Linked DNA regions of Callithrix jacchus. The protein of the gene in region 3 purifies or fractionates together with the protein of the main gene of each other region. This does not show direct contact. Links are inferred from orthologs where the notes say so. Each region holds a gene or a part of one and is shown on either strand. Other genes may lie near its edges.

Region 1 (3,431 bases), on a different chromosome or scaffold from region 3:
GGCCATTCCCAAGAAACGGGGCCGAAAGCCAGGGAGTGTGGTGGCAGCCGCTGCTGCCGAGGCCAAAAAGAAAGCCGTGAAGGAGTCTTCTATCCGATCTGTGCAGGAGACCGTACTCCCCATCAAGAAGCGCAAGACCCGGGAGACGGTCAGCATCGAGGTCAAGGAAGTGGTGAAGCCCCTGCTGGTGTCCACCCTCGGTGAGAAGAGTGGGAAGGGACTGAAGACCTGTAAGAGCCCAGGGCGGAAAAGCAAGGAGAGCAGCCCCAAGGGGCGCAGCAGCAGCGCCTCCTCGCCCCCCAAGAAGGAGCACCACCACCATCACCACCACTCAGAGTCCCCAAAGGCCCCCGTGCCACTGCTCCCACCCCTGCCCCCACCCCCACCTGAGCCCGAGAGCTCCGAGGACCCCACCAGCCCCCCTGAGCCCCAGGACTTGAGCAGCAGCGTCTGCAAAGAGGAGAAGATGCCCAGAGGAGGCTCGCTGGAGAGCGACGGCTGCCCCAAGGAGCCAGCTAAGACTCAGCCCGCGGTCGCTACCGCCGCCACGGCCGCAGAAAAGTACAAACACCGAGGGGAGGGAGAGCGCAAAGACATTGTTTCATCCTCCATGCCAAGGCCAAACAGAGAGGAGCCTGTGGACAGCCGGACGCCCGTGACCGAGAGAGTTAGCTGACTTTACGCAGAGCGGATTGCAAAGCAAACCAACAAGAATAAAGGCAGCTGTTGTCTCTTCTCCTTATGGGTAGGGCTCTGACAAAGCTTCCCGATTAACTGAAATAAAAAATATTTTTTTTTCTTTCAGTAAACTTAGAGTTTCGTGGCTTCAGGGTGGGAGTAGTTGGAGCATTGGGGATGTTTTTCTTACCGACAAGCACAGTCAGGTTGAAGACCTAACCAGGGCCGGAAGTAGCTTTGCACTTTTCTAAACTAGGCTCCTTCAACAAGGCTTGCTGCAGATACTACTGACCAGACAAGCTGTTGACCAGGCACCTCCCTTCCTGCCCAAACCTTTCCCCCATGTGGTCGTTAGAGACAGTTGAGAGGACACTCCCTTTTTCGGTGCCATCAGTGCTCTGTCTACAGCTCCCCCAGCTCCCCCCACCTCCCCCACTCCCAACCATGTTGGGACAGGGAGGTGTGAGGCAGGAGAGACAGTTGGCTTGTTTAGAGAAGATGGCTATGATCACTGGCTATGGCCCATGCGATCCCACCTGTGGTGGCTCAAGTCTGGCCCCACACCAGCCCCAATCCAAAACTGGCAAGGACACTTCACAGGAAAGGAAAGTGGTACCTGTCTGCTCCAGCTCTGGCATGGCTAGGAGGGAGTCATCCCTTGAACTACTAGGTGTAGACTAGCCTAAACCACAGGAGAGGATGGCCCAGGGTGAGGTGGCATCGTCCATTCTCAAGGGACGTCCTCCAGTGGGTAGCGCTAGAGAGGCCATGGAGGCAGTAGGACAAGGTGCGGGCAGGCTGGCCCGGGTCGGGCCAGGCCGAGCACAGCGGGCTGAGAGAGATTCCTAATCTCTCAGAGCAGTCTGTGACTCGTAGTTAGGGACTTAGTGGACAGGGGAGGGGCAAGGAGTGAGGAGAAGAAAATGTTTCAGTTACTTTCCAATTCTACCCCTTTAGGGACAGCTTAGAATTATTTGCACTATTGAATCTTCATGTTCCCACTTCAAAACAAACAGATGCTCTGAGAGCAAACTGGCTTGAATTGGTGACATTTGGTCCCTCAAGCCACCAGATGTGACGGTGTTGAGAACTACCTGGATTTGTATATATACCTGCGCTTGTTTTAAAGTGGGCTCAGCACATAGGGTTCCCACGAAGCTCCGAAACTCTAAGTGTTTGCTGCAATTTTATAAGGACTTCCTGATTGGTTTCTCTTCTCCCCTTCCATTTCTGCCTTTTGTTCATTTCATCCTTTCACTTCTTTCCCTTCCTCCTCCTAGTTCATTCCTTCTGTTCCAGGCAGCCGTGGTGCCCAACCACACTTGTCGGCTCCAGTCCCTAGAACTCTGCCTGCCCTTTGTCTTCCTGCTGCCAGTACCAGCCCCACCCTGTTTTGAGCCCTAAGGAGGCCTTGGGCTCCACCGAGTCCAACCTGGCCTGTCTATGAAGAGCAAGAGAGCAGCAAGGTGTTGCTCTCCTAGGTAGCCCCCACTTCCCTGGTAAGAAAAAGCAAAAGGCATTTCCCACCCTGAACAATGAGCCTTTTCATCCTTCTACTCTAGATAAGTGGACTGGAGGAGCTGGGCCGGATTTGGTAGCTGAGGAAAGTGCAGAGGCCCCCTATGGCCTACCAGTCATCGAGTAGCCCAACAAGGGCTCCATGCCACCCGACCTTGACCTCACTCAGAAGTCCAGAGTCTAGTGTAGTATACAGCGCAGCAGCAGCGGTGCTGATGCAGAACTTTCGATACCAGAGCTGGAACCAGCACCTAGGTCCCCGTCCCTTCTCTGCTCCCCTTTTCCCTTGGAGTTCTTTTCTAATGGAAGTGTTTTGCTTTTGCTTAATGCAGTGGGGCCGGAACAGCACACATTTCACTCTGGTCCATAGGCGTGGTGCAGGGTTTAGAGGCGTGGGCTTGCTGTGGGTTTTTAATTGACTAGTTTTCATTTGGGATCCCATCTTTTTAACCTCTGTTCAGGAAGTCCTTATCTAGCTGCATATCTTCATCATATTGGTATATCCTTTTCTGTGTTTACAGAGATGTCTCTCATATCTAAATCTGTCCAACTGAGAAGTACCTTATCAAAGCAGCAAATGAGACAGAAACACCCACGGGCATGTCCCATGTGAGCTGCTGCCATGAACTGTCAAGTGCGTGTTGTCTTGTGTATTTCAGTTACTGTCCCCTGGCTTCCTTACTGCGGTGTAATCATGAAGGAGTGAAACACCATAGAAACTGTCTAGCACTTCCTTGCCAGTCTGTAGTGATCAGGAACCATAGTTGACAGTTCCAATCAGTAGCTTAAGAAAAAAAATGTGTTTGTCCCTTCTGGAATGGCTAGAAGTGAGGGAGTTTGCCCCATTCTGTTTGTAGAGTCTCAAAGTTGGACTTTTGAGCATTTATGTATCCATTTCCTTATGCTGTAAAACAAGTCCTGCAACCAAACTCCCATCAGCCCAATCCCTGATCCCTGATCCCTTCCACCTGCTCTGCTGCCCACTCCCCCACACAGCTTCACTTCTGACTCTTCCCCAGGAAGGGAAGAGGAGTCAGAGGAGAGGGTGAGTCCTCTAGACTCTTCCTCCAAGGACAAAAGGCTCCTGCCCCCACAGTGGCCTCGCACTCCTGGCACCACCAAAGGACACTTATCCACAAGAGCGCAGCATCCAACCAGGTTGTCACTGAGATGTTTATTTTGGTCAGTTGGCTATTTATGCATTATTCTTAGTCCAATGCAATATGGCTTCTGGA
Region 2 (3,568 bases), on a different chromosome or scaffold from region 3:
CACTGTGTGTGTCGACCACTGCAGCTGGTCTCCCTGCTTCAACACTAGCCCTGCTCCATGGTGGCCTGGGGAATTCCAGCTGGGAACTCTTCAGTGGATCCCCGTGTGTCTGGGAATGAAGTTCAGACTCCTTCCAATGTCCCACATGATCTGGCCTCGCCTGCCTCATCCCCTCACTTAACTTTATGGCCTTCCCATAGGCAGATCCTCAAAGCTGAGCCCCTTCCTGCCTCCAGGCTTTCCACACTGCTGTTCCCTTTGCCCAGAATGCTCTTCCCACTCCCCTCCAGCTGTCCAGCCCCCTCATCCCTCAGGTTCAGCTTCAAGGTCCGGTCAGCATGCTGTGTGCACTTACAAGCTTCTAGCTTTTTTGGCTTACACAGTGTTTCCCATAGCTGGAATCATCATATGCTTTATGCCACTGTTTGTTGTCTTTCCCTTTAAATGGGAAGCCCCCTGAGGACCAGTACCTCATTTGTGGTGTTCACTGTGGTGCCCCAATGCCTGGCATCTAGTGGGTGTTGGACAGATGTCTCTAGAACAATGGAATGCATTGGTTTGAGGACAGAGCTGGTAACTCCCAGCCCTGAGTGGGGAGCAGGGCCAGAATGTGGGGCTGGATGGCATCCCAGTTCCTCCTTCGTTCAGACCTCACTGGGTGGTTCCATTATGTATTTCACTGAGCTGTGACCTGCCCAAATACCCAGCCCCCACACCCGTCCATTTTCCCACCCAGAGCCTGGGAGGAACAGTTTTGGATTATTTCACATTTCTGGATTATCCATGAGACATCTCCCCTCCAGTGAGAAGGATCAAGAGTTTGACATTTTAAACCCTAAGCAGCTTCTCCCTGGCCTGCTTCAGATCTGAGCCTCTGCTGCTTGCAATGAGATGCATGGGGAATGGAAGGCCATTTTAATCTTGGCCTGGCTTCATTAGGAAGAAAGAGATGCTGCCAAAAAAAAAAAAGTTTGCTTCATTGTCTCTGCCATGCAGAGCTACACAAGAGCCTAAGGGGTTATCAAAGTAAATTTCCTTGAAAAGATGGGGAAACTGAGGCTTAGAGAGGAGCAAAAGCTTGGTCGAGGGCATGCAGCAAATTGGTGACCAATCCAGGAATGGTCCTCCCCCAGGCCTCCTGATTCCCGCATGCTGCCCTTTGTCACCTTCAGGCACCAGGGGAGCTAGGGTCTGGCAGAGAGGGGGTAATAATGACTTCAGGACCCTGAGTCACCCTGGCCTTGAATGGCCTCCCAGAGCACAGATGGGGTTTTCCAGGAGCCCAGCTACTCCTCCAGGAAGAGAAACTCCCAGGAAGCTTCAGTGGCAGCAGAAGGGAAGGGTGAGGGGCTCAGACATGCCTCCGGCTTACCCCGCCACCAACCGCCACATCTGGGTCAATTTTGTGACAGATCTGTTGTCCTAGAGTGGGGCCTGTGGTGGCTAATTTCTGGAGCAGGCTGTTCTTCAAGAAAATGACTCCTTCTACCCTATTCCCTTTGATCATTTTGGGGGCGTTTTCTGTCTTTTATTTTCCTTTTTAAAACACCAAATCTTGAGAATACTAAAACTGACTCCAATTAATGAGGTCACAGTACCTGATAAAAACAGCATCTAAACATTTAAAACTCTTTCACTGAACTCGCAGAAAAGCTTCAGGAAAGGGACTGGCTTTTCCAGGGTCAAAATATCTTGCCTGAAGGTAGTCCCCATGGCTGCACGTTTGCAGGGACGGTGGGATCCCAGCACCCCTTCTCCACTTCTGGGTCCCTACCCCACATGCTCCTGGCCACACCTAGCCTACCTCAGGTCACAGATGTTGGAAAACAGCTCTTGGGGGCACCTTGGGAGGCCAAGAGAGGACACTTTGAGCCATCCTGTGAAGTCCTTGCAGAGTGTGTGACCAAGCCGTCCTGGCCACTCTCTTGACCTGGCCCTCACCAGGCTGCCTCTTAGAATCAATGAAGCTCCCAGGGAAATGGGGGTACCAGCAGGGCTGGTCCTCTGAATAGGCCCTGGGTAGGTGACCATCCAACCTGCTTCTCCCTTCACCTGTCTCACACAGGGTGATGCAAATGCCCACTGTTATCAGTGTATTTCCTGGGAAATACTTCCTGCCCAAGACATGGCATGAACAAAGGAAATGAAAACTTGATAAACCAAACGCCAGGGCCCCATCCAGTCTATGGTCCTCCGGCCATTTCAATTAACAAGACTCCTTGAACGTCCAAGTCGCCTGCTGAGTTCCCAGCCCCAGCACCCCACCTCCTCCTGAGACTGTCCACAGCAGCGGATCCCTACTCCCTGCCGCTGGTCCCAGCCTTGCCCTTAAATCCTTCACCTGCTTCCTGCTCACTCCATACCTCTGTCCTTGACTAAGCTCTGATGTCCTCTCCCCACCCCCGGGCCTTTGCCCGCTGTGCCCACATCCCCAGACTCACCCAGGAACAAAACCTCGCGGTCCAGTCGGCACTTCAGTTGGCACTACAGGGACGTGACGGTGAATGTGTCCTCAGGGTGAGGTTCCGCCATGGGCCCCAGGAAGCCGCTCTTGGGGCCCCCACCTAGGCCGGGATGCGCCTGCGGCATAAAGCCTGGGTACCTGTAGGCAGTGTCCTGCAGGGGCAGCAGTGAGTCCCTCGGCACGGGGGACAGGGTCAAGTCACTAAGGAGTGGGCAGCCATAGCCAGCAGCAGCTGCAGCAGGGCCACGGGGTGGGCCGGGCGGCCGGGCCATCTCCAGTGGCTCCTTGTCGGCCTTGGGTGTGGCTGGTGGGCTAGCCAGGTGAGGGGCACTGAGGCATGCGGCCTCCGTCCTGCCCAGGAAGTCAGCCAGCAGCCCTGTACCCACCTTGCCTTCATAGGGCGGGCTGCGGGCAGCTGAGCCTGGTGGGTACCAGTATGCTGTGCCCTTGCAGCTGGGGGAATCGTAGTGGGGCTGGCCCAGTGGCAGGTCCCGGCAGCTCAAGTGGGCCTGGGCTGCAGCTGCATGGCCCAGGCTGGCCCCCTGGAGCCCATGCTTGAGGGGCTCGCAGGCAGCCAGTTTTGTGGGCGGTGGCCGCAGCTCTTCCTTGAAGCCCAGCGTGGGTGAGCAGGTGGGTGAATATGCCTTCTGCAGGCCGGCGTCGAACACCGTGGGTGGGTGGGCCAGTGGTGGGAAATGCTTGCCATCAAGCTCGGGAGCACCCAGGCTGGGAGAGTCGCAGTGGAAGCCTTGGCCGAAGGTGCCGTCAGAAGGCGTGGACGGATTCATGGAGTAGGGTCCTATGAAGTCACAGGGGTCTCGATCTCCCACACCAAAGGCCCTCGACTGTGATGAGGGCAGTGGTGACATGCTGCTGTCCCCACTATAGTAGTCCAGGCCGAGGTCGGGACTGTCCTGGAACAGTGGGTTGACCGGCTGTGGCTTGGGGATGAACTTGGCTTTGGCCGCTGCGCCACCCCGCTCCTTCTTAGCTGAGCAGGCCCCACCGCCCCGTCCACCCCGTGGCTGCCGGGGCCCAGTGCTCCGTTTGGATGGGTAGCCTGAGGCAGCAGCAGAGGCGGATGTTGGGAAGCCCAGATGTGAG
Region 3 (3,568 bases):
CCTCTGTTGCCCAGACTGGAGTGCAACAGCATAATCTGAGCTCACTGCAACCTCCGCCTCCTAGATTCAAGTGATTCTTCTTTCTCAGCCTCCCAAGTAGCTGGAATTACAGGCGTGCGCTACTGGGCCTGGCTAGTTATTGCATCTTTAATAGAGACGGGGGGCTAACCATGTTGGCCAGGCTGGTCTCAAACTCCTCAGGTGGTCTGCCTGCCTTGGCCTCCTAAAGTGCTGAAATTACAGGTGTGAGCCACTGCACCTGGCCATGCCTGGATAATTTTTGTATTTTTAGTAGAGACAGGGTTTCACCATGTTGACTAGGCTAGTCTCAAACTCCTGGCCTCAAATGATCCACCCACCTTTGCCTCCCACAGAGCTGGGATTATAGGTGTGAGCCTCCGTACCCAGCCCAAGCTAGGTAATTTTTAAAAACTTTATTATGGAAGATAATGTTAGCCTCTCCAGTGGCAACACAAAAAAAGATTCAGAGATGCCCAAATGAGCTAAATCTCTACTGATGATTCTTATAGTAAAATCTTTTTGATCTGATTATGTTCACCTTGCTTTCCTCAGACACAGAAAGCATTTGGGGTCTTGGTGGTCCCCAAAGATACCAAAATCCTCAATAGGAAGGAAATTCCATGCATGAATCATTGAAAGATACTGACTTTTAAAAACATAGCCTCTTTGGGGGGTGCTTAAGGGGAAGAAGTTCCCAGATGTGCACACAGCTGCTCACAGCTGGAATGCTGGCACATGGACTAAGTTGTAAATCATAGCTGACAGCTGAAAACAGTTTGCTATATAGAGGGGGGAAGGGGTGGGCAAATGGAAGAAAAATGTTCAAGCTGCTGAAAAGGAGCCGAAGCGAAGAAAACGCTAAAATCATCATACAGGCAGTAATCTTAAATCAGGCATAATGCAGACTAACAAATTTCTTCTGCAGTGGTCTTAAGAAAAAAATGCAATCCCCTCCTCTGTACCTTTAAAACATATAATCACCTATTTTCCCAACTGTCTACCTGACAGCAACCAGTACTGCTAGAATGCTATCAGGGGCCCCAGATGAACATTATGATCTAAGGGACACGTAGGGGTTGTTTTCAAGGTCGGCAGCTTCAGAACCTGGCCTAGGAACAAAACTCTCTGCACTGACCAGTGTCTCTAAGCCAGATAATTCAGGCTGCTCATTTTTAAAAAGGACAGAGGTTGGTCACGATGGCTCACGACTGTAATTCCAGCACTTTGGGAGGCCAAGGCAGGCAGATCACAAGGTCAGGAGATCAAGACCATCCTGACTAACATGGGGAAATCCCATCTCTACTAAAAATATAAAAAATTAGCCGGGCATGGTGGCACACACCTGTAGTCCCCACTACTTGGGAGGCTGAGGCAGGAGAATCACTTGAACCCAGGAGGTGGAGGCTGCAGTGAGCAGAGATCACACCACTGCACTCCAGCCTGAGCGACAGAGTGAGACTCTGTCAAAATAAATAAATAAATAAATAAATTTAATTTAATTGTAATTTTACTGGTCTGGGGTGCATCTTAGGCACTGGATAATTTTTTTTTTTTTAAAGCACTGTCCAGGTGAGTATAATGTGTAGCCAGGATTGAGAACTAATGCTCTAGAAAGTTAGATATCTAAGTAGAATGAAGATAATAGGGATGCTTGTGACAGAGATGCTGGAAGATTCAGAAGTAGACTTATGCTTTTATTAATCGTAAAGTGTATGATACAGCCTTCACCACAAAATGCTTGATAACCTTGAAATAAATGAAAGGAATAGAAGCTGGGCGGGGGGCAGGAGGAGGTGGTAGAGTGTGTATATTTATGCACCCACACACAGTTGAAAAAAGACAAACAATAACAGTGCTCATAATGCTAGTTGCTTGAGAGCTAAAGAGCAGAAGGATTAAAGCAATTAAATCAAACCAAAATGTTGTAAATATACTTCCCAAACTGAAGAAGATTCAAAAGACAAAAATTAATTTTATATTCCAAGTATGTAGAAATAATAGATCAAGAGAATATAAATGCTATTGAACTGTACACTTTAAAATTATTAATTGAGCCCGGTGTACTGGCTCAAACCTGTAATCCCAGCACTTTGGGAGGCTCAGGTGGAAGGATCACCTGAGGTCGGGAGTTTGAGATCACCCTGACCAACATGGAGCCCATCTCTACTAAAAATACAAAATTAGTTAGGCATGATGGGACATGCCTATAATCCCAGCTACTCAGGAAGGCTGAGGCAGGAGAACTGCTTAAAGCCGGGAGGCGGAGGCTGTGGTGAGCTGAGATCGCGCCATTGCACCCCAGCCTGGGCAACGAGAATGAAATTCCATCTCAAATAAATAAATAATAAAAATACAAATACAAAAATCAGCTGGGTGTGGTGGCACAAGCCTGTAATCTCAACTACTCAGAAGGCTCAGACAAGAGAATCATTTCAACCCAGGAGGCAGAGGTTACAGTAAGTCCTGATTGTGCCACTGCACTCCAGCCTGAATGACAGACTCCATCTCAAAACATAAATAAAGAAAAATAAATAGAATCAGCCAGGCGTGGTGGCTCATGCCTGTAATCCCAGCACTTTGGGAGGCAGGAGATCAAGACCATCCTGGCTGACATGATAAAACCCTGTCTCTACCAAAAAATACAAACAAAGGGCAGGCACGGTGGCTCAAGCCTGTAATCCCAGCACTTTGGGAAGCCGAGGCGGGCGGATCAGACCATCCTGGCCAACATGGTGAAACCTCGTCTCTACTAAAAATATAAAAAAAAATTAGCTGGCCATGGTGGCGTGCGCCTGTAGTCCGTCCCAGCTACCTGGGAGGCTGAGGCAGGAGAATTGCTTGAACCCGGGAGGTGGAGGTTGCAGTGAGTCGAGATCACACCACTGCACTCTAGCATGGGTGACAGACTGAGACTCTGTCTCAAAATAAATAAATAAAATCGTTAATAGTACATTATGATTTTCACTGCAAAAAAAGATTATCAAGGATTACAAACAAGGACTATTATTGGAACAAGAAAAAAGAAAGTAGCAAACATTTCAAAGCCCCTTTCTATTCTTAAAAAATTCACCGATGATACTTATTCTCTAAAATGACTAAGTCTTCTATTTATGGAGAAGGCAGAAGAGTGATTTAATGTTTTACAAATACTTAATTTTGCCACCTTAATACAATTCAGTGGCCACAAATTACATTTCTCACTCAGCCAGGAGAGGGAGCTATAATCAACATACCTCCCTGCAAGCTCTTTTGTTCAACAATTTACCTTATAGGTCCATCCTTGTAACAGAAATAACCAAAATACGATACTTTTATTTATTATTATGATTTTGGTGACAAAAGGATAGTTTGTGGGGGAAAAAGGAAAGGAAGCTTACCTCTCTCTTTTTTTTAGATTTGATATCATCAGCACTGTTAGAGAAATTGGATTTCCTTTTATTACTTTCTGACTTTTCCCTGGGTTTGTTATTTTCACCCTCCTTCATCTTCTTATACTTTTTCATAAACTCAGAAATTAGCTCAGGGCAATCCAAGTTTTTCTCAGGTT

The links.
Region 1: the proteins of CBX5 (region 3) and MECP2 purify together in Homo sapiens (affinity purification with western blotting; 3 studies listed by BioGRID, with this or other methods). This does not show direct contact. The link is inferred for Callithrix jacchus from reciprocal best matches to the Homo sapiens genes CBX5 and MECP2.
Region 2: the proteins of CBX5 (region 3) and AHDC1 purify together in Homo sapiens (affinity purification with mass spectrometry; 3 studies listed by BioGRID and IntAct, with this or other methods). This does not show direct contact. The link is inferred for Callithrix jacchus from reciprocal best matches to the Homo sapiens genes CBX5 and AHDC1.

The regions. Positions count from the first base shown.
Region 1 is NC_133524.1:149,941,909-149,945,339, reverse strand, and holds part of MECP2 (methyl-CpG-binding protein 2), read left to right. Parts: coding exon 1-676; 3' UTR 677-3,431. UniProt on the Homo sapiens protein: Chromosomal protein that binds to methylated DNA. It can bind specifically to a single methyl-CpG pair. It is not influenced by sequences flanking the methyl-CpGs.
Region 2 is NC_133508.1:64,215,335-64,218,902, forward strand, and holds part of AHDC1 (transcription factor Gibbin), read right to left. Parts: coding exon 2,485-3,568; 3' UTR 2,442-2,484; intron 1-2,441. UniProt on the Homo sapiens protein: Transcription factor required for the proper patterning of the epidermis, which plays a key role in early epithelial morphogenesis. Directly binds promoter and enhancer regions and acts by maintaining local enhancer-promoter chromatin architecture.
Region 3 is NC_133510.1:65,302,365-65,305,932, reverse strand, and holds part of CBX5 (chromobox protein homolog 5), read right to left. Parts: coding exon 3,399-3,568; intron 1-3,398. UniProt on the Homo sapiens protein: Component of heterochromatin that recognizes and binds histone H3 tails methylated at 'Lys-9' (H3K9me), leading to epigenetic repression. In contrast, it is excluded from chromatin when 'Tyr-41' of histone H3 is phosphorylated (H3Y41ph).